Kluyveromyces lactis: one gene and its partners. The protein of the gene in region 3 interacts with the protein of the main gene of each other region in a pairwise test. Links are inferred from orthologs where the notes say so. Each region holds a gene or a part of one and is shown on either strand. Other genes may lie near its edges.

What was found.
Region 1: the proteins of BRR2 (region 3) and SNU114 interact in binary tests that used the Saccharomyces cerevisiae proteins (3 or more experiments, as listed by UniProt). The link is inferred for Kluyveromyces lactis from reciprocal best matches to the Saccharomyces cerevisiae genes BRR2 and SNU114.
Region 2: the proteins of BRR2 (region 3) and CDC25 interact in a two-hybrid assay, tested with the Saccharomyces cerevisiae proteins (2 studies listed by BioGRID). The link is inferred for Kluyveromyces lactis from reciprocal best matches to the Saccharomyces cerevisiae genes BRR2 and CDC25.
Region 4: the proteins of BRR2 (region 3) and SNP1 interact in a two-hybrid assay, tested with the Saccharomyces cerevisiae proteins (2 studies listed by BioGRID). The link is inferred for Kluyveromyces lactis from reciprocal best matches to the Saccharomyces cerevisiae genes BRR2 and SNP1.
Region 5: the proteins of BRR2 (region 3) and PRP16 interact in a two-hybrid assay, tested with the Saccharomyces cerevisiae proteins (2 studies listed by BioGRID). The link is inferred for Kluyveromyces lactis from reciprocal best matches to the Saccharomyces cerevisiae genes BRR2 and PRP16.
Region 6: the proteins of BRR2 (region 3) and PRP2 interact in a two-hybrid assay, tested with the Saccharomyces cerevisiae proteins (2 studies listed by BioGRID). The link is inferred for Kluyveromyces lactis from reciprocal best matches to the Saccharomyces cerevisiae genes BRR2 and PRP2.

What each region holds. Positions count from the first base shown.
Region 1 is NC_006037.1:603,834-607,810, reverse strand, and holds the start of SNU114 (U5 snRNP GTPase SNU114), read right to left. Parts: upstream 2,801-3,977; coding exon 1-2,800. Other genes in the region: TPO5 (Tpo5p), read left to right, coding at 2,960-3,977. UniProt on the Saccharomyces cerevisiae protein: Component of the U5 snRNP complex required for pre-mRNA splicing. Binds GTP.
Region 2 is NC_006040.1:782,602-786,651, forward strand, and holds the start of CDC25 (Ras family guanine nucleotide exchange factor CDC25), read left to right. Parts: upstream 1-1,250; coding exon 1,251-4,050. Other genes in the region: mRNA splicing protein SMD2, read left to right, coding at 255-587. UniProt on the Saccharomyces cerevisiae protein: Promotes the exchange of Ras-bound GDP by GTP. This protein positively controls the level of cellular cAMP at start, the stage at which the yeast cell division cycle is triggered.
Region 3 is NC_006039.1:1,579,252-1,583,401, forward strand, and holds the end of BRR2 (ATP-dependent RNA helicase BRR2), read right to left. Parts: coding exon 501-4,150; downstream 1-500. Other genes in the region: TFIIH/NER complex ATP-dependent 5'-3' DNA helicase subunit RAD3, read left to right, coding at 1-408.
Region 4 is NC_006039.1:703,699-706,337, forward strand, and holds SNP1 (U1 snRNP complex subunit SNP1), read right to left. Parts: upstream 1,407-2,639; coding exon 501-1,406; downstream 1-500. Other genes in the region: CCR4-NOT core ubiquitin-protein ligase subunit MOT2, read right to left, coding at 1,818-2,639. UniProt on the Saccharomyces cerevisiae protein: Involved in nuclear mRNA splicing.
Region 5 is NC_006037.1:689,251-693,400, forward strand, and holds the start of PRP16 (DEAH-box RNA helicase PRP16), read right to left. Parts: upstream 2,801-4,150; coding exon 1-2,800. Other genes in the region: MRPL20 (mitochondrial 54S ribosomal protein mL58), read left to right, coding at 3,356-3,949.
Region 6 is NC_006042.1:601,845-605,788, reverse strand, and holds PRP2 (DEAH-box RNA-dependent ATPase PRP2), read right to left. Parts: upstream 2,801-3,944; coding exon 167-2,800; downstream 1-166. Other genes in the region: uridine kinase URK1, read left to right, coding at 3,059-3,944. UniProt on the Saccharomyces cerevisiae protein: Involved in pre-mRNA splicing. Is required together with ATP and at least one other factor, for the first cleavage-ligation reaction.

The DNA of each region.
Region 1 (3,977 bases), on a different chromosome or scaffold from region 3:
ATACAAATCGTTTTTGTTGCAACTTCTTGAATAGATCTTGATCAATGTATTTCTTTAATGATGGCCCGTCTTGAGTCATGTGACCACTTTCAGATAAACCCTTGCGACGTCTTGTCTTCATCACAAAGTCCCTGCTTAGGCTTGCAGCAGGCGCTGGTTTCAACTTCGGTATGAAGGCTTCTTCGTCAAGTACGTCACCTGGCACTTTTCTCCATATTTTATTCCAAAAGTGCATTTGACACATTCCGCTACCGGCGGTCGCAACACGAAGATCTGTCTCAAATCCAATCGACTCGATGACAGGTAATTGAGCCTTTATTTCTATGAATGGTGATGCCACTATCTTTTCTGTCTTGTAAATTCTTCCACCTCTGCGTCTCTTCAATAAATTCTGAATCACAGACTCCAATACCCCCGATACGATAATATCGACTTCATAGATGGGTTCCATGATAATTGGAGTAGCAGACATTAGCGCAATGTAACATGCCTTTCTCGTCATTGGCACTAGTTGAGATGGGATGATATCTTCGATGCTGTCTTCTTGTACCTTGAATTGCAAGAGTTTAAATTGGCATGCATGGATTGTTTCATCAGCCAATGGTCCTTCTTTCACAGCCCATTCAAACCCTTGTAAAATGTTTTCTTTATATTTCTTGAGTAGTTGCTTATCCGTTTCATCAGGTAGAGTATCGTCAATGAATACATTACATTTTGATAAATCCCAGCAGTTTCTAGCTGCCAATGAGTCCCATCCATACTCGGTTCTTAGACGTTTGGAGAACTTTCTCATGTTATTCAATTCTGAACTGTCGATTTCACCATGCGTCAAATCGTGTACTATCTTTCCATCTAATTTTTCGGCCATAACGCTGAGTGATACTACACCGTTGTTTGACTTTACAGGAATTGACGCGAACGATTCGTTCTGACAACTTTCCGTGAATTGCACAAGCGGTTGGCTTACTTTGATCTCAATTTCACAGAATTTTTTCCGTAATTCGTCCATCACGCAATCAAGGTAAAGTTCTCCTGTTCCAATTATGATGTTTTCGCCGCTTTCTTCAACTCTAACCACTAATGCAGGGTACAATTCGTTTGCTTGTTGAAGACCGTTCAATAGTCTCGGTAGTTCACTTGGTTTCTGAGGCTGTATGGCGAATTTGAACACCGATTCGTTGAGATAGTTAATTGGTGCTAGCGGGTTCATCAAGCTCGAAGACAAAGTTGCATATTTCGTATACTGATCTTCAAAACCTTTTAAAAGTACAATCTGTCCTTTTATTGCTTCCTCGAGTTCGTAGACATACCTACCTCCCATTAAGGCTACACGCTCAATAGTAACCTTGGAGTATTCATCATCACCAAAATCTACTACAGAGTCTACGGACTCATTGAAAATATAGAGTTTGTTGCCTTTTTTCACTGAGCCCTCTATTATCCGACAAAGGGACCACTTGGAACCTTCCAGGCTCATGTGTCTCAATACATGTACAACAGTGCTTTCATCGGATGATAAGTTGTTGATTTTGTGGTCCTGTGTTGAAACAATAGCATCGATGAAGCAGTGATAGTGCGGTAGTATAGCATGAAACACGCTAAAAAGTAGCGGCTGAGGATCCTTTGATAGAATCTCATCTGAAAGCCTGATTTGAAAATTGGTTTCGATGACTGTTCTTAGTTCTTCCTCGGATGCAGATAATGTATGAGTGAAAACCTTGTATAAAGGTTGTAAAATAAACTGAATGAATGCAATGTTGTCCGTAATAAATTCTGTTTGGTAGAATGCTCCTTCTCTGTAATTAATTTGACCCCAAAGTTGAGCAGCAAATTGTTCTGTCTTATCCTTTAACGATTTAGCGTAAAATGAGTTCACAAAAGACTCCACAGAGAATAAGAATCCAAACTTGGTACTGGCAAAGAGTACATTACCTAGCTCCGGTGAGAATCTTTCTTTGGTATATGTGTTTATTTCGTTCACGATATATTGTAGTTTGCTGTATGCGTCTGTAGGAGGAAGTCTCAAATCCAAAATTAATCTATCAATTTTGTTAAGAACGATGATAAAGGGGATCCCATTACTTATCAATTCTCTTATCAGTTTGGAAACTACAGAAGTAATTCCTTCTATCACATCAACGATGATTACACCATATTGGCAAGCAGTCAAAGCAATACCGACATCGTCCCAAAAATTTACATGTCCAGGTGTGTCCAACATCGTCACTGCATACGTACGTCCTCTTGACGATTCATATGCAAACGACATACCATTCAATCTAAGCGAAATACCACGTTCCTTTTCTATCCTCGCTTGGTCGAGGTACCTAAACGGTACCCATCCCTCCTTAACTTTTTTTGTCAAGGACGGAAGATTGCGATGAGTATCTAACGCAAACATATCCGTGAAAGAAGTCTTACCACAATGTAGCGCCCCGAAAATTCCAACATTTAACTGACGTTCTGGTATCGAGAAAAGGCTTTTCAAGTACCCTCTGTCAAATAGTGCTTTAGGTACTTTCCTGTTAACAGCTTCGCTATATGATTTCGAATCGTCCCCAATCAATGGTTTCTCAGGTTCTCTATCTTCCACTTCCAACAAAACTTCAACATCATCATCGAAATCACGGTTCACATCTCGAAGTACCACATCGGTAGAGTCAGCCTCGACTATCTTTTGCCGTAATTCATGTTGAGCTTCCTGCTCTCCTACTTCTTCCAAACTATCATCATCAGAATCGATTAATTGCATTGGATCCCCAATGAAATTACCGAACTCATCGTACAAATCTTCATCCATTATTGTATTTCCTTCCAAAAGTACTCAGTGCTGAGTCACGTCACCCAAATCGCAGTAGTCTTCCCTAAGAGCAATGCATGTGCTTATCATTCTATCTTCATTACTCGAAGCTTTGACTTTCGTCAACATTTACATAATGTCTAAGAACTGAAAATATCGATGAGCCCTCGAAAAGACAGACATTTTGCCAAGACGGATGCCGAAAGGGTTCTAGGAAATAAAAAGGGTGAGCTTACCAAGGGGTCACACAGAGCCGAACTGCATTTTGAAATGCCTGAATACATCTGGCTTTCTAATCTTAACGGGAACATACACATTCCCGAGCGATTGTTGTCTTTATTGAACGAGGAAGACCAGGATATTCCCGATGAGGTTAAAGAGTTTACATATGTACAGCAACTTGACAAGAATTTACTTTCGCGGACTTCTGTTATTGGTCTAGGGTTTGGGTTGATGAGTCCCGTACTTGGTATGAGCACTACTATGAGTATTGGATTGCTAAATGGTGGATCTCCATCGATAATATTTGGGTATCTGATATGTGGGATAATGACGTGGATTAGTTCACTGTCGCTCAGTGAGATAGTCTCGAAGTACCCCATAGAACTTCACGGTGCAGCGGCCATGCTTGCGCCTGGCAGACTTCGGTTGCGTATGTCTTGGTACTGTGGTTGGCTAATGTTGTTTGGAAGTTGGACGATGAGCACTAGTATTACGTTTGCGGGTGCACAATTGATTATTTCTTTGCTGACAATGACTAATGAATCTCTGATAGACTCCCGGTGGTTGACGTTATGGACTGTGCTAATGTTTTATCTCATTGTGACTGTGGTTGGAGTCATTAATCTAAAATTTTCAAGTTTCATTGAAACTATCAATAAGGTCTGTGTTTACTGGATCTTATATGCGATATTATTCACAAGTACACTTCTCCTATTATTCCAACCAAACCATAGATCATTCAAGGATGTCTTTACCAAATTCGATAATAGTTTGTCGGGGTATAGTTCTATGGCCTTGTCATTTTTAATTGGAGGGTTTCAGCAATCTAATTTCACTTTCCAAGGGTTTGCGATGTTATCGGCATTATCTGACGAAACTGAGAAACCAGAGAAAGATATTCCTTACAGTATGACACGCTCTGTGATAATCTCACTAGTTTCCGGACTATTTTTCT
Region 2 (4,050 bases), on a different chromosome or scaffold from region 3:
GTTGATATTTATATAGTGTAAGATTACCCGGATAATGATAATGATAATTGGATAATCCGAAAGAAAACAACTGGATGGTATATTGGGTTTGATGCACAGGATGAGATGATGAGATGACCAAAGAAGGAACCTCTCATATCATATGGCAATCAGGACAAGTTATCACAAACTTACGAGATTGCAAATATCATAAGCCAAGGACTTATCTTCAGGATTTGTCTGTTACATATACTAGAAAATTGACCTAAAACACGATGGCCGATACATATATTCCAAAGACAGACCTTTCAAGGTCTGAACTATCTAGAGACGAGCTAACACAACTAGAAGAATTCGAAATGAAATATGGACCCATGTCTCTAATCAGGGAATCAATGCTACAGAGGACACCTGTTATAATATCACTAAGGAACAATCATAAACTCATAGCTCGTGTGAAATCTTTTGACAAGCACTGTAACATGGTTCTGGAAAACGTTAAAGAAATATGGACAGAGAATGTAAATGGTAAGAAGGTTAACAGAGAGCGATTCGTAGCGAAACTCTTTCTTAGAGGGGACTCAGTGATTATAGTGGTAAAGACATGAACCTGTTTTTATCATCCCATCAACATCCTTTCTGAAGTCACGTGTACTGATATGTTCGCTGCCACTGAAAGCATCAAGTAAAAGGGTTATAGAGCTAATAATCTGATCAAATATCAGGACAAAGATGCATTAATCTTCTGTGAAGCCTTTACCGCATTGAACCAATGTAACTTTCTGATCTGTGCCCGGATTCTCCCTAGTTTTTATATGTCGAATTCCAAACGGCGCATACTCAAAATACGTAATTCAAGCTCAAAAGAACCGTTTAATCCTCTATAGAACTAGATATCAATACATAATACGGCTCAAACCATACAACCCAATACATCCCTTATTTTACAGCTAAGGGGTTGCCTTACCAAATTCAGTATACTGCTAATCACTATTTTTGCCGTTTTAACGTAACGAATACTCAGTTTGGATATTTCACGAATGATATTTCTTCATATTTTTTTTTTTTTTTTTTATTTTTCACTTTCATGAACTCTTTTAAAAAACTAGTCAAATCGCTCTTTTATATCACAGGGATAAGTCAAAGCGCAAAACCTAACTGAAATACATCAAAACAATCACAGGACAACGTTAGGTACTATTGTCAAAGAGTTATATATTAAAAAGAGGCGTGTGAAGTGTGCTTTTATTCTATAGCTTTCACAACTGACAATGGAAAGGCCACAGGACGAGGGAATGAATCCTCCAAAAGCTGGATTGTCTACAATTATAAAACCTTTGGACATAGTGATAGCGCAGTATGACTTTAATCCGCTAAGGAAATCTCAATTACGGTTTTTTGCCGGTGATATTATCTACGTTATATCGAAGAGTGACTCAGGTTGGTGGGACGGTATTTTATATTATAATAAGAGCTTGGTTTTGAGGGGCTGGTTCCCCAGAAGTTATACTAAATCAATAAAGGATACCAGTTCAAGTCGGAAGATATTTCCTCTGAATTACCATGGCAGCAATGCTTTTAATAATAGGCCTAGTAGCCATGGGTCACGGAGGAACAGTTTGAGGATAGGCAGCCCATCTGGGAATATGAATATTCGTTCTACGTCTGGGTCAAGAAGGGGATCTTTGGTGAGTACCGGGAACTTTAGAAGGAAAAGTCTTGGTACGACTACTTTCCACGATAATCATGATAATGCAATAAATAGTGGGCAAACGCTACTGTCGACGTCTCCTTCAAATTCTGCAAGTAGTGTCAATAATTCTAGCCCGTCATCGCATTTGAAACAGGATTACCAATTCGATATGAATCGCAGATCCTTCTCTCACTCAAGGAGCAAACCAAATGCAACCTCCAAATCAAGAAGTGCATCAACTAGCAGTTCTCGAAACTCTTACTGTCGTTCATCTGAATCTTTATCCAAAGCGCGGTCTCATTCAGAATCCCGTAACTCAGATCATTCATACAGTAAACATTCTGTATCGTCAATACGGTCCCCACATACTCTTCATGAGTCAGAAATCAACATTCTTTCTACTAAAGAAGTTGAAATGCTCTTAAATAACATGTCAAGACAAGAGGTTGTGCCGGTATGGACCCCGGTTTTGACTACAAGCAATAATTTATTATACTTCAATAAAGAAATGAACATTTATTGTACATCTTTACCTATATCAAGGACACCTGAACTAAGCTTAAAATCTGTTTTCCCGCCTAATGAAAACCTGGTCGACTTACAAGCAAGAAGCCTAGAATCAGACTTTTTGCCTAATACTCAAGTGATGGATCTGGAATCTGTCATTTCTTCTCAGCACCGTAACTTACATGATGCGAGTCCCATTAATCCAATGGTTGTCATCAGTGGAAACTCTTCTCAAAAGCAACCAAATACACCATCTGGTCCAAAACCAGACCTAAGTCAACCCTGTCCATCTCCAGGTCGATCACCCAGTATGCATTCAAATCCTACGCAATCCAATGAAAAAAATGAAGAAGCAGGTCCGAAAAACTCACAGCCACTTGCTCCTAAACCATTACCGCAATCGAATAGTAGAATGTTTTATTCATTAAGTTCTGACATGAAAACGTGGACGGAGTTAAAAAACTCCACTATCTATTATTTGAAAGCTTCACATAACCATTTCTTCAAACAAAACCAACCATCATTTTATCAGAACTTTTCGAAAGCGTCAACTTACATCTTTTACCATCAGTTGGCCTGTAACTTAGCGAGAAAAGAACTTATCAAAAGGAATGTTGTAAAGGATATTAGGAAAATTTTGAGAAAGTTGATTAAGGTCGTCTTCAGAATCAACGTAAATGCTTCAGTATATTTCAATTCTAGTAGCAAAATCGTTATGAACTCCTCCGACATCAAGAAATTCAATGGAGACATGCTGACTTCGAACCGCGATACTTTGAATAATGGCACAAGAACTTCTGAAGCCTTTGTCTTACCTAACAATATTGAGTTTCCTGATTTAAGAAATGTTAGTACTAGTACCACAACTTCTTTTAATCCTAACGCAAGCTTAGATAGCTCACATCAAGGAACTATGACGTCAGAAACTATTCAGATCAGCCCAGATTCCCCAAGAGCGTCAATTCCAACTAATACAACTCAAACATCGAATATGCTCATCGACGAGGAGACAGGTATTGTTTTGAATTCTCTCTTTAATGTGATACACACTGACTTCACAAATATTTTCAAACTTGTCAACAACCTTCACAACATTATCATTGATTCTGTTTCACCGGATGATGCATTAGTTCAGATATACCCAAGATTTATAAGAAACTCCTTTGAGGGTATAGTGTGGACCAAATCAGATCCTTCATTTGCTTCCAAATCTGAAGATTCGAGTGATATTTCCAACAAATCGGACCAGGGGAATGCGAGCTCCTCATTTTTTCCAGAGTCTCTTTCGAGTCTTATGTTTTCAGGAAGGCAGTACAGTAGTTCAAGTTCTAGAACTGTCAACTCCAATTTAGAAAAGCAAAACTCTTCGGGATCAATAGGAAAAATACACAACAAATTACGTGCACGGTCAAAAGGTTCTAAACCTGCCAGGTACCCCTTAAATCATACGACTTTAAATCTTCTTAGGGACAAGCTATCCCTGATCAGCAATATCTACAAGACGGACAATTCAGCGATTTTAAGTTCAGTTGACGGCGGAAAATTAGTCGAACTCAGTATGGGAACATATAATGGTTTGAAAGAATCCGCTGCTTTTCTCAATATAATTGATAAGTTGGACCTACAATTTTTCTTTAACTTGAAACGTTGCCATTCTAATGAAAACCTCGAAAAAGAATTTCACGAGTTCAGTGAATCATCCATGACTAACGCAGTTCCTATTCTCCTAGAATATTATGATCTAAAGCAGGCGTTGCATGACATTACAATTCGTTATGTCATGGACACTCAAAATCTTTCACTCAGAGATCCATTTGTCTTCTGCTCAATGCGAGGAGAGCTTTCTCAGTTCTCAAAAGGTAGTCATGCAG
Region 3 (4,150 bases):
GAGAATTACCAGATCCGAGAGAATGACTTTTTATCTTTTGATGCAATGAGACATGCAGCTCAATGCTTAGGTAGAGTTTTACGTGGTAAAGATGACTACGGTGTAATGGTGTTGGCAGACCGTAGATTTGCAAGGAAGAAAAGTCAACTACCAAAATGGATTGCACAAGGTTTATCTGATGCCGACATGAACTTGTCCACGGATATGGCTATCGCCAATACTAAGCAATTTTTGCGAACCATGGCACAACCAACTGATCCAAAAGATCAAGAAGGTGTATCTGTGTGGAGTCATGCACAGTTACTGGCGCACCAAGAAAGTGTTAAGAAAAAGCAACATAACGGGTTTGTTGATTCGGATGTGACAGAAGTCAAGGATAATGACGGGGACATTGAAATGAAGGATTAGATAAAGGGATTCTACTCTGCTTATAGAAAGAATTTTATTTTAATTTATATTCACTGCATATATACAGTACTTTCTTTTTATTTATGCATTTACTATGCGATGTTAACATTAAATGTTACTTCCTTATCGGCATCCAAGTAAGAATCACATACACACCATATTGTTAGTTCATGATCACCAGGATCTTCCAATTCGATTTCCAATTCGTAGTCCTGGGTCATTTTTGTAAGCGCGATCTTCCTGATAGCATATAGCTGCCTGGAGCTCTTTTCACCGATGAATATCCACCATGCTTCAGTTTTTTCATGTGGCAACGACTTTGAGCTAACATTTAGTGTTTCTGGTTCTTCATCTCTACTTACTGTTACAGTAACCATTTTTTTGTCGTGAGGTTTCATCGGTGCTGACATATCTAGAGCATACTTCAACTCAATGTTTGGATAACTGTTGACAAATTCTGCGACTTTATTCAACTTATTTTCCGGTAAAGTGATGATATCTTCTCTTTCTTCATCCTCTAAAGCCATCACGTCATAAACTGTTTCTACATTATGGTTTTTGCATTTCTCCAAGATGTCTGTATCAAAGAATGGAATTTGTTTCAAAGGTGAATCAGTATCCCACACACCTTGAACAATCATTTGACTTAAATCCATAGCAGTAGTGGCATTCAAATAACCGTTCATTGACAATATATCTACCATTGTTCCTGCTAAGCTAGGTGCTTTTGAAAGGATTTCAGACAAATCAAGTGATAAGTCCATGGGTAAATGAAGACCTGAAAAATGGGCCTGCAATAACACAAAAACCTTGGCTGTTGTGGAGCGTGGATCGAATTCGGAGGACAACTTCAAAGGTGAAATGTCGTATAATTTTCTTAATGGCTTTATATCATGTAATCTAAGAGGCAATGTCTTAAACTCTTCACTTGAAGACAAAATTTCAAGAATACCGCTCATTCTTAGTGATCTTGATGCTGCTCGGCTAAAATTGCATATCGTTAAACAACTTACGGCATGGATAGCAGAAATAAGACAGGCATTATTCGGGGAAATTACCTCCTCTGCAATTTCTGTGGAATCGTTCGCTTCCCCTTCAACTGATATAAGCTCGGTTTCCTTCATGGTTGTTACTGCTTCCTCTACTAATTCTGTTAAATAGGAGGAAATTTCGTCTGCAGTCACATCTTGAATACCGTAGAAACTTGGATTTGCATGTATTCTACGATATAGATAAGTGTAAGTTAAAAGGTCGATACAGTCTTGCTTGGTTTCTAATGTTTGGTTTGCAAACTCCGTTGTAAGTAAATCAATAACATGGTATGGCAGAGAACTCTCCGTTGGTAACCCATCACAAAGGAATTTTTTATAGTATTCCTTCCTTTGCATTGTGGTGATTAGTTTTGCATGTGCTTGCTGTTTATTTGACGCCGTAAACGCTGTTCCCATCATCTCAAGAATAGTATTTACAGGATAATCGATGTATCTGTTCTCCCTGCCTTCAAAATATTGAGTTGTAGTAACAAAGACAAAACTTGATGAAGGGGCATCAAAACAACAATCCCTACTTGCAACCAAAATCGATATCACCTTGTATTCATGGAGCTTACGGACTACATTCCTATCGGAATAATGCATACCTTGGTATAGAATTCCTATACCACTTTGCAACAGTGTCTTGAGGTTGCTGTCCTGGACCTTGTTGAGATACGAGTGTAAACTGGATTCCTCTGCTCTAAGAAGATCAATGCCTTTAGCAACAGCGAGACCAACGAGTTCTGTCGCGAAAGAAACGCATTCATATCTGTCAGTGACGAAAACTGTTATAGTTTCATCGGGTGAGGCGACACGATTACTACTTTCAACGATCTCAGTTAGGGCCATTCGATTAGAAGTAGGGCTTTTTACTAAAATGCTAGTTTCGATATCGACTGTCAAGGGTGTTTGCCTTTCTAAAGCAGTAAAATTGAAAATACTTGATTTTTTTGCACCTAACCATTCTCCGAAATCCTTTGCGTTGGCAAGTGGGGTTCCAAGCCCCACAATCCTTATATTCTTCTCCAATTGTGTTGCAATGAAAATCATTCTCGTAATTATGATTTCATACATCGGTCCAATTATCTCGTTGCCTATTTCATGGATGTCATCACAAATAATTAGTTCTATTCTTTGAATGTTTTTTCTTTCCGGCCAGCGACGAGACAGGTATTCAAATTCATTCGGAGTAGCTAATATTAGATGAGATTGGGCTAATTGTTTTTGATCGTGCTGCAAATTTCCAGAAAAAGCATTGATCAGTTTTCCACCAGCCAAATGTGAGAATCGCTTTTTCCAATTCTTTAGAAGTTCAGTTATCTTGGTTTTGAATGGACAAATGTAAATCGCACGTCCTCTGCCTTCTCTCCAATGGTTCAATAATGAAAGTTCTGCCATTATTGTTTTACCGGAACCTTTTGTTGCACATATTAGTGCGTTTTCAGTTTCATGGTATAATGTATCGAAAACTTCAGTTTGAACTTTATTGAAAGAATGGAAATTGTATAACGCCTCAAATTCATCAATTTGTAGTTCCTTGGTACTTTTCTTAATTGAATCAGAAACAGATATTGCAGGAGGGAATGGTTTAGGTAATTTTATTTCACTCAAAATAACAGGAATCTTGTACTCACAGTTTAGCCATTTTTCTGATATAACGGATACAAAATAGTTCGGCGGTAACATTTTCTGCTTCAAAAATACAACAAAGTCAAGATACACAATGCTGTTTATTGCATTTCTCCCAACATGCAATGTCTCATGATAAATTGTTTGTTCACCGTCTGTGTCTTCGACAAGAACAAGGAATGTTTCAGAATAGCTGCTGGAATCCAGATCCCAGATCCATGTAGGTTGGAGTTCCAACTCAAAACGAAGTAGTGAATTTGTAACTGGCTGCATTGCGCAGTGAATGCCAATCTTCGGGAATCTTTGAAGCAAATCGAAAGCAACTTTACCATTTTTTGGAGATCTTAAGGCTTCGCCTACCTCATGAGCATTCTTCAACAGTAAGAAATCGTTCCAGGGTAAACCAGACGCTTCTGCTCGTCTTATGATTTCTTGAGGGCATCTCTTGAATTGCCTAAATGGTGAGTTCGTGGGCCACATTCTGCTATCGACGCATTTACAGATGGTAAGCAGAAGCTTGGTTAGTCTTGGCCATCCTTTTCTTAAGCACATTTCGAAGAGTGCTCTGAAAAGTCTACCTGCGCTCTGAGAAATGTAAATCATATCCGCATTTAAAGCGAACCCCTCCAATCGTAATTTTGAAATGTACACCTGAAGTAGAATGTTTGCCTTGGCTAATGAATCAGTAGCCTTCTCCTTGATCGGAATTGGACAACGCTCGACGAGTTTCTCTAATTCAGTTTTCTCTTCTTGTCTTACGGTAATGTTCTTAAACTCTTCTGACATAGCAAATATTCTCAGAATGTCGATCAAAGTGCTGTTTATTGTTAACTCCCGGTTGTATTTTGCAATTGACGAATAACTTATGTAGAAATGAGAGGATATTCTACCTAGCTCAGTTGGTTGTACCGACTTAGAAAGAGAGTCATAGTTTACAAGACCGTTATTCTGTAATAAATTCAACGCCGTATGCACAATATTTCTGTTGACTCTTATGAGCTCAGCATCACTCATGTCTCCTGAAGAACCTTGCAAGTTGTATAAATGAGGTGATTGCTTCATCCGTACTGATAAATAGG
Region 4 (2,639 bases), about 880 kb from region 3:
CTGAAAAGGCAGGTATCAACACTTTCCTGCAAACCCTTTAATTTGTCCTGCAGATGGATAGAGCTGGTCTTAACTTCGATTAGACAATAATGCTGTTCAGTACTTTACGAGTTAACTCATACTTTAGATACCTAATGGAAATACTTAGCGAATGGGAAACTGAAAACGGTTTTCTTTATATGTGCGATTCGCTGAGTTGCCATTTTTTTTTTTTTTTTTGTTTGACTGGAATAATTTTTTCCATCGTTATTTTGGAATCAGTCATCGATCAAGAAATTACTCATGCATACAGAGGTAGTGGTTCAGTTATGCTTGGCCAGTGGGCACAATGTAGGAGAACTGCGTAGATATGAGAACAGAGGTAGAAATGGTAGGAAGTACATATAACATTTAGCCATGGCTCATCTGTATGGCTACTTATATGAATATATATGAAAATGTATATAGATCACTGCAGCAGTTCTGATCACGTGCTATTTGATGTGTCTTTTTATCTCATCTCAATACATCAATGTGTCTGTAGAACCATTGGAAGTATCATTGCGAGATCTGTCCCTCCTTGATCGGTAGCTAGAACTTGCAGTTTTTTGGAAATTTGATGCAGGTGAGGATATTGGACTAGTTGGTTGATAAGAATGGGAATGCCCTTGTGGAGGACCTCTTCTTTCGAAGGTATCGTGTCTTCTGATGGGTCTTCTAGCATGTTCATGCATCGGTCTTGTTGAAGCACCAGTTAATTTATTTACGAGATCTTTCCTTTGGTAACCTCGTCCTCCTAATCCTCCACCTAGACGTCGAGGTTTGAAGAATTTCACCGTTCTGCCTCTTTCTATATCAACGATGGATGTTCGGCCCATGATTTCTATTCCCTTCCTTACACCAAGCTCTCTGAAACACTGTTTGGAGTCTTCATAACTGGTAAACTGCACAAAACCGTATCCTCGGCTCTTACCGTCTTGGTCTCTTACTATTCTGCACGATTCAATGTCGCCGTATTTGACGAAACTCTTCTGTAGTTCAACTTCGTCTACGGCATAGTGTAACCGTCCGACAAATAATGTGCGGTAGGGGTCACTAGAAATGTTTGCATCTGATTCAGGGTGCCACTCTTGTATTTTCTTCATCAACTCCTCCTGTTCTTTGTGCGATTCGTTCATGGCTTCATCATATACTTTCAAGTGTTGGTTCTCTGATACGGGATGGGTTGCCTTCTTATACTCTGAAACATGTTGCAACACGGCTGATACACCAGTGAGTGCATATTTCTTGTTCTGGTTTCGCCTTACTCTCACTCTCGATGGTGGTAATGGTGGACCTTGTGTAAATAACTTTGATACTGAAGACGGAAGTTTGGTCAAAGTGTGAAAGCCATTATGCCTGTTGTATTTCCTCGTTTGTGGTTTCATCTATTAATTGGAATGGATATGTGCCAATATTATCTTTATTGATGCGCTTACCGCAGTATCGAGGTTAAGGTGTATGCGCTGAGGTAAAGTGTATGTAATTATATTCCATATTTTTGGCGCATCTTTACTATTTAGATGTTAAATGTTACAATTTTCACATAATTGATGGAAAAACCTTAAAAAGAGTGTGTCAAAATATGTATTTTAATGTGAATGCCTTTGACAGAAAGAAGAACCCAGAAAGACAGTAGATTACAAGGTCTGATTTGGAAAAATGAAATTGAAACAGTTGTTTATCTAACAACCTGGAACGGTTTATATTGAAAAATAAATGAATGTACATGAATATATATATTTATTTATATGCTAACTTCGTAAAAGAAATATTATTGGAATCATACTGAGTACTGATTATACGGCAGCAGTCTGTTTCTTACCGTGAATTAATTGATTTAGTAGATCGGAAGAATTGCTTTGTGGCTGGCTCATAACTTGCTGCGCCATGCCTTGCTGCGCCATGCCTTGTTGGGCTTGTAGTTGCATTTGCAGTGAAAGCTGTTGTTGCTGTTGCTGTAATTGCTGTTGCTGTAGCTGCTGCTTCTGCTGTTGTACTAATTGTGGTTGCTGGACAGCAATTCCCGGTGGTAACATGGTAGGTGTAGCCTTGTTTTGAATGAATGGCAGAAGAGAGGACATGTGGTCCACAGGTTTTATAGTAAGCAAATCACATAGTTTGGCACCCAAGACACCTTCAGATTGCTCACTACATCCAATCTTCTCAAATGAAAAAAGTGATGGGTAACTTTGATATGTTTCGTCATCCAATAAGTTGGAGTTGAATGTGTAGCTTCTTTCAGGAATATCTGATAAAAACTTAAAAGTTTGATCTAGGAACTTAACACATGTTGCCATTGGATCGTAAGGATCCTCGTATGTCTTTTCGCCCTTCTTCTTCGAACTTACGTTAGAAGAAGAGTTTGCTGTTGGGGCAGATCCAGTGGTCGTAGGAGTGCCTGGACCTGGACTGTTCAGAGTTTCCCCCAAGGAGCTTGACAACGTAGGGAAAGTGGTAGAAGTAGAAGTCTTGTTGAAAATAGTAGAAACTGGTGTGGGTGCTTGAGATATACCCCATGGGTTTGAACCAGATGGAACTGGAGCTGGTGTTAGCACAGGAGCGGTTTGCTTCGAGCTTGAAGTTGCAGCTGCTGGCACAGTAGAGTCATCTGTTCTCAA
Region 5 (4,150 bases), on a different chromosome or scaffold from region 3:
CACTTGTTGGATGTACTTTGAGATCCATCCCTGTTTTTAAATGAACATATTTGCCTAACCCTGATAGTTTGGCAGTCTGTTGGATGTAACCGGTGCATAGACATTTTCTTATTGGAGCCCAGTCTGACCCAGAAGAAGCCATCGGTAAATTCAATTTTCTTATCACATAGAGTAACTGTTCTCGAATGTCTTTAGCTCTTTGGAGAGATCTGAATTGTAAGAAGCGTGAATTACACCAATGGGCAGAATATCTGTTGGCTTTCCATTGAGCATACACGTTAAGTAGGGTCAAATGATCTGATTCAGGGATGAAAAACCGGCTTCTGGCTTGGTCAGATTCTTCTTCACGTTCCTTCGGCCTATAGAAGACAGACGGAACCGAAAGCATAGATACAATCGTTAACATCTCTTCGGTACAGCCATATTGTGATGCACTTATTAGTACCCTGGAAAGAAAGGGCTGTAAAGGGAAGGCACCCATCAGTCTGCCTAATTTAGTTAGATGACCGAAGTTGTCCAAAGCTTCTAAGGCCCAAAGATCGTACAACGATGTCATTAGATTCTGCGATGGCGGTGGATCAATGAAAGGGAATTTCGATAAGTTGTTGATATTCAACGATTTCAACTGCAAGAGTGTATTTGCCAAATTTGTCCTTTGAATTTCTGGGATGGCCTGAGGATACATATCTTCCATCGCTGAATCATGAGTGAAAAGTCTATATGCGATACCAGGGCCCGTACGACCAGCCCTTCCTGACCGTTGATTAGCATTTGCAAGTGAGATGGGTGTGATTCGCAAACTATCAAGGCCGATTTTCGGATTATACACCTTCAATTTGGAGTACCCACAATCTATGACATATTTAATACCGTCAACTGTCAATGATGTTTCAGCAATATTTGTGGCAACAACAATCTTTCTAACGTTTTGTTCTTGTCTTTGAAATATCCTTCCTTGTACATCTGCAGGTAACGACGAGTAAATTGGAAGAACTTGAACATCCGCTAATTGCTCCTCATAATTTGCCCCGTATTTTTTAGTATAGATCTCAGTTAAGCGTTCGATGATGGTAGAACAAGTTGCTTCAATATCTTCTTGACCAGTCATAAATATCAAGATATCTCCATTTGAAATTGGTGTAGATAAATGTATATCTAAAGCTTTTTGAACAGCAGATTCAACGTAATCAGGTACTGGATGGTTAGTGTAAATGATTTCGACGGGGAAAGTTTTTCCCGGTATGAAATATTGTGGCGCATTACCAAAGAATTGGGAGAACTTATCTGCATTCATTGTTGCCGATGTCACGACAAGTTTTAAATCGTGTCTTCGAGCTAATAATGTTTTGAAGATCCCTAGGAGCACATCGGTGTTCAAAGATCGTTCATGAGCTTCGTCCATTATAATACATGAATATTTCTCAAGCAACGGATCTATCATTGCCTCCCTAAGGAGTATACCGTCGGTCATAAACTTGATTTTTGTTGAATCCGAAGTCTGATCTTCGAATCTGATTGAGTATCCAACTTTAACACCAATTGGGGTATCCATTTCTTTGGAAACTCTTTCAGCAACCGATACAGCTGCTACTCTTCTTGGCTGTGTACATCCAATCATTCTACCATTTGCAGTGAAACCGTCTTCGTAGAGGAATTGTGCTAATTGTGTTGTTTTACCTGAACCCGTTTCACCAATAACCACAGTAATCTGGTTATCTCTAATATGGCGCATTAAGTCGTGTCGTACTTTATAAGCGGGTAAAGACCTTCTCACTGCTTGTATTTCTTCAAAGCTCTGCTCTTTTTCTTTTATAGCAATGGGCTGATTAGGTTGCTTAGTTTGCGCGTCAGTTGAACTATCTTGTTTTACTCCTAGAACTTTACCTAAGGCGCTACCTTTTAGCTCGGTAGCGTTCTGAGATTTAGATTTTCTATCTCTATGAATCCTCCTCATCGCTACAAGCTTGCTGCCTCTCCTTGCATTAATAGAAAAGTCGCTCTCAGGGTTTCTTATCGGATCTGCTATTCCCTTATTTGCATTTGAAGACATATCCAAAGCACCCACTATCGCAAGCTCTCCTGACTGGTCATGGAAATCAAGTAAAAACGGAGGAATAATGGTTTTACGCTCATTCAACGATAAGGAAGTTAATTGGATTTCAGGTTCATTCAAGTCAAGCTCTCTGTCGCCGCCTTCGTACGGATCTTGCTGAGCTGGTATATATTCATCATCGTGAATGACGTTATCAAAATCATCATCATTATCGTACCAATTTCTATCTTGTGCAGTAAAATCCTTGGCGTCCTTTATATCTTCCACATCACTACCTTCTGCATCGATAAGTGTGCCTTTGGTCGCTTCTTCTTTTTTTACCATGACCACTGGTTCAGTGTTTTCTGAAAACTCATTCAATTTTGCTGCAGTTTGCTTCGTAATACGTTTCAAAGTCAAAGGCTTGTTGAATTTTGGTTTCACTTGTACCTTCACAGTAGAAAGCTCATCTTCATCGTCGTCTTCCTTGTCATCCAACGGAAGTTTAACCACAAATTTTTTCCTTATGGTTCTTGCTGGAACAGCCGCTGATTCTGGCTTTGGAGACTGCTTATGTGCCTGTAATTTTTCAAAAAGTTGCTTCAAAAACTCATCTTTGCCCTTAAATTTCCCCAAAGCCTTAGCACCCCCGATGAACTTGTTTACATCCTTATGAATACGTGCAATCTGCCTTAAAGTCTCAACAAACTTCTCTGTCACTCTTGATTCCGTATTCTGTTGAATCCATTCTTGAAGTTCTGCATTCATCTAATTCTGTTGCTTGGTAAACCTACCACCTGGCGTAAAACCTGATGAGACAGAGCTGCTAATGAAGTATCACAAGGACTGTTTATGCCATTATTCTTGTCCCATCTCATAGCCTTTCAGCTCTTCCTGTTGTGAATAGGAACGACATTTGATGTTGATGTTGGGATTACCCGGCTTTCACGTGACAAAAGATACAGAATAGTCCAAATTGGCACTTCTAAAAGCTGCATAATATCGCCAATATAAGCCCTATTTTAACAGGTCAGCTCACACTCATTCATAGTACTAATCGATATTATATAGAAGCATCTTCAGGTAGGTATATCCACTAGAATAATCCTATATTTCTCGAAATAAACTGTTTTCCCATACTAATCCTGTCTGTCTCATCAGGATTTCTATCTGAAAAATTTGAAAGCATCAAACTGAAAGATTTAGAGTCTGCAGTGCGAAACATGGTGATTGATAGTTTAAATAACAAGTTTTAGACCCTTACACCAGGCTTATAATCCCCAATTACGCTGTAGAAATTACATTTGACATATTCGCTACAGTATGGTGAGACTATTTTCGACCAGCGCCCGTGCGGCCAAGGATCTTTCAAAGATAATTGATAAATCAGGTAAGTTACCTAAGATCGTTGGACCAGCTACCATTTACAATCCAAAATCATCTGCCTCCAATTACAAAGGTTATTTGAAAGCCAAGATTCCAGCAGGTCTATATTACGATCCAGCTCCATCCTCTATCCATGGTTCTACTAACTCAGAAACGATTCCAAAATCTTTCTTACCGGCCACTGATCCAAGGCACGACATTATAGATGACCTAACGCAAGGTAACGCAGAGATATCGAGGGTAGCGCCAGTGTTACATGAGAAGGGTGAGAAGACCTACCATTTGAAGCCTGAAGACATCGCTGAGATTAGAAGACTAAGACTGGAGGACCCGGTGAAAAACTCTAGAAAAGCTTTAGCAAAGAAGTTCAACTGTTCTCCGTTGTTCATCTCTATTGTTTCTGAACCACCCAAGGAAAGAAAGACAGAAATGAATCAAGTTCTTGAGACGATAAAGAGCCAATGGCATCCTAAGAGAGCATTGGCCAGAGCCGAAAGAAAAAAGAGAAAGGAACTCTGGTACAGAGCATGAGAAAAGGTAAAAGAAAACAACATACTGTATATCTGTAAATAGTAATAAGATAACCATCGACCTTATGTTTCAATCGTTAGTCATCAACTCTATTAAATGGCTTATAACATCTATATATATGCATGTAATATAATACAATGGAAGACGTGCAAAAATTAGTGTCTATCTCAATAAGTTACAGCTGGGGTCATTATCGTTAGG
Region 6 (3,944 bases), on a different chromosome or scaffold from region 3:
TTGAACATTAGAAGTAATTAGAAAAATAACTGATTTGATTTCGATTATTCTACAATTGGTTTTTCAGAACATAGGTGGACTCGCCAACAATTTGGCGTGATGTTCTGAAAAGCTTCTTAGAAAATGTTGCATATGTTACTCCTCAATTAACTGGGGATACAAAGATTCATTTATAAATATGTGGCATAGTTTCAGTGAGCCATTCGTATTTATCAAATGTTATACAATCTCTAATGAATTCTTTACTTGTAAGCATCAAAGATTGATAGAGGATGTATTTCATTGGTTTTCCTTCTTGTTTCATTCGGTTGAAAATAACACTAGATGGGTGAACGCTGACGGATAAATCTTGCTTTATGTTAGTATAGCCTTGTTTAGAGAGCTTTGCTATATTTGTTGGAAATCCTGATATAAAGCATTTAATGATTTTTGCTTCAATGACGGAACGAGGCATGTTTTCTTTGAGTTGAGTAAGGTTTTGGTCATGCTTAAGCAGAAAATCTTGTTTCCTACAATATTTCCATAATTGTTGTCGTATCCTCAATACTCGTTTCATTGTTTTATGTTGCAACTTGAAATCTTGACACCATCTTCGTGAGTATCCATTCTCTTCCCATTGTTCATATATCCACAAGTATAGCATGTGGTCACTTGACTGCATCAATGACCCAAAAAGTTTTGTCTTTTCTTCCGAATTGAGTCCCGGTACAAATATAGAGTTGCTCTCTTGAAGCATAGAGACAATCGTAACAATTTCAGGTAGAACACCATTACAGCTTTCTTCAAACACGCTAGAATATATTACCTTGGCATATTCAGGATCACATGGGAAATCACACATAACTTGTCCTACTTTTGTGATTGCACCTCTGCTATTGAGAGCGCCAATGGCATACAAATTTTCGAGGGCTTCGCTTAGCTGGATAGTTTTTGGTTTGTCCAACATTGGAAAGTGAAGTAAGTCGTTGATACCTAGTGAAAGCAAAAGTAGAACCACTTGATTCAATTTTGTTCTCAAAATCTCTGGCTTTGGTACTTTTTCAAGCTCATTGTAGTAAGACCATTTTGTAAATAATCTAAAACATTTGCCTGGACCCAATCTCCCTGCTCTCCCTGCTCTCTGGTCAACAGATGCCCTAGAACATGGAACTGTCACTAGCTTTGAAACTCCTCCTGAATAGGATTGTTCCTTCACAAAACCTGGATCTACCACGAACTTTATGCCGTCAATTGTTAACGATGTCTCTGCAATATTTGTCGCAAGCACTACTTTTCTGCAGTTCTTCGGTGTAGGTTCAAAAATTTTGGATTGTTGTTCTTGAGGAAGATTGGCATATATAGGTACTACCAAGAGATCTGGAAATTTTGTATTATCAAGCTTGGAAAGAATCTCAAGTAATTTTGTTTGCATCGATTCTATTTCCTCTTGACCAGTTAGAAATACCAAAATATCACCTGGTAATTTTTGGGTGGTATGAATTTGAAAGATGGTGGTGATCGCAGCATTTATATAGTTTCCTTCTGGTTGAAGTGTATAGTGAATATCCACAGGAAAGCGTCTACCAGGAACATTAAATATCGGACAATCAAAGAAGAACTTGGAGAATTTAGTAGCATTCATAGTTGCACTAGAAATTATAAGTCGAAGATCTTTTCTGTCTTGTAAAATACCCCTTAGCAACCCCAACAAAATATCTGTAGATAACGTGCGCTCGTGAGCCTCGTCAATCATTATTGCACTATACGATGATAGTTGTGGGTCATTAAGAAATTCTCGAAGTAACATCCCATCTGTCGTATATTTTAAGATTGTTTTATCAGGCGTTGTTCGGTCATCAAATCTGATATTATAACCGACTTCTTTCCCCAATATTACATCCATTTCATCAGCAACTCTTGAAGCAATACTAGTTGCAGCAACTCTACGTGGTTGTGTGCAAACCACGCATTTTCCATCGTTGGTGTAACCATCCTCCACAAGGAACTGTGGAAGTTGGGTGGTTTTCCCAGACCCCGTTTCACCAACAACAATCAAAATTTGATGTTGCCGAATACTATCCAAAATTTCTTGTCTATATTGATAAACTGGCAATGACTTCCTCGTTTCTTTAATACTCTTCATCTTGTTAATTTGTTCTTCTAACGCTTCAGCCAATCTACCGTCTTCAACAGGTTCTAAAATATCTGTCGTATCATCAGTAAAATCAATCATGGACTCAGGATCAAAAACAAATTCGTAATTATCTGAATCCTTAACTTTGATTTCATCTGCATCTGCCTTAATTACACTTTTCTTCATTTGCTCCTCTTCCCAGTTCACCCTATCGGTTTTGTTTCGAAGTTTGGCGGTCAATAGTTGTTTCTTTGATGCGACCTCATCTTGCATTTTGAATCCACTTGTATCTCCATTTTCAGCATAGTCTTTTCCAGTTTCATTTAAGAGCTTCAATAGCTCTCTTTTCAGCGATATCTCTTCTCGTTCACTAACAGTTAAGTTATTCCAACCATAACGTTTTATGTCATCTTCTAAAATCTGAAGATCTTTAACCAGCCAGTGCAACTGAGAACGCTGTCTCTTAGTCAAAACTTTTTGCTCAACCATTGACTTAATCGAGTTAACCGAATAATGAGCCTTACCATCCTTCAATGAAGGGTCCGGGCTACTGTCCAAAACTTGATCTGCAGGTGAGAATGAGTTAGTATTTGCATTTACCGATTCTATGCTTTCATAAGTTCTCTTCGCTCTGCGCTGTCCTGATCCCGTAAGTTTAGTACCATTTTCATCACCTGAGGTTCCCATAGTATGAACTGCGATTCGGTATGCTGCGAGAGCGTTCTACCTGATTTCGTAGCGCTTATTTCTTCTTCTTCCCTCACCTTTAGTTTCTAATCGTGAAAGGTACATCGAGTGGCTTTCTTGCAATATCAAATGTTGAAAACTATGCCAAATGACTGATAGAAACCTTCCAGATAAACATTATCTGAATCAGAAAACAGACATAGACAGTTCCAGGCATAGGACATTTAGTGTTCATAAAACGCTTGCAAGGCGTCCAGAATGAACTCTTCTGGCTATATACCACCTTGGACAACACCGTATGTTATTGGTATTGGAGGGAGTTCAGGTTCTGGAAAGACGAGTGTTGCTACCAAACTCGTGACAAGAATCAACACTCCATGGACAGTATTAATATCGTTGGACAATTTCTATAAACCGTTAACCGTCGAAGAACGAAAGCAGGCTTTCGAAAATAACTACGATTTCGATAAACCGGATTCAATAGATTTGGATCTAGCTTATCAATGTATCCTGTCTTTGAAAGAAGGTAAGAAGGTGAAAATCCCAACCTATTCGTTCACAGATCATGATAGAATTCCAAATAAGTTTTTAACCATCTATGGTGCGAGTGTTATTGTTATTGAAGGAATTTACGCATTATATGACCAAAGACTTCTTGATTTAATGGATTTGAAGGTTTACGTGGATGCAGATTTAGATATATGTTTAGCTAGAAGATTGACAAGGGATATCATCTCTCGTGGGAGAGACTTGCATGGTTGCATAAGACAATGGGAGAAGTTTGTTAAACCAAATGCGGATAGGTTCGTGAAACCAACCATGAAGGCAGCAGATGCAATCATCCCATCCATGTCAGATAACAGCATTGCGACTGAGATGTTACTTAATCACATTCAGTCTAAATTGCAGCTCAAATCGCAGCAGCATTTAGCAGAACTTCAAAAGCTCGAGTCATACGCTGTGTCGATTGATTCTTTAAATATAATTCATAAGTTGAGACAAACTAATCAGGTGAAGGCTCTACAGACTATATTGTTAGACAAAAGCGTTTCAAGAGATGACTGGGTATTCTATTTTGACAGGTTAGCAACAATACTTTTATCCTTTGCATTGGACGATATACCTACGAAATTGAAAACGACTA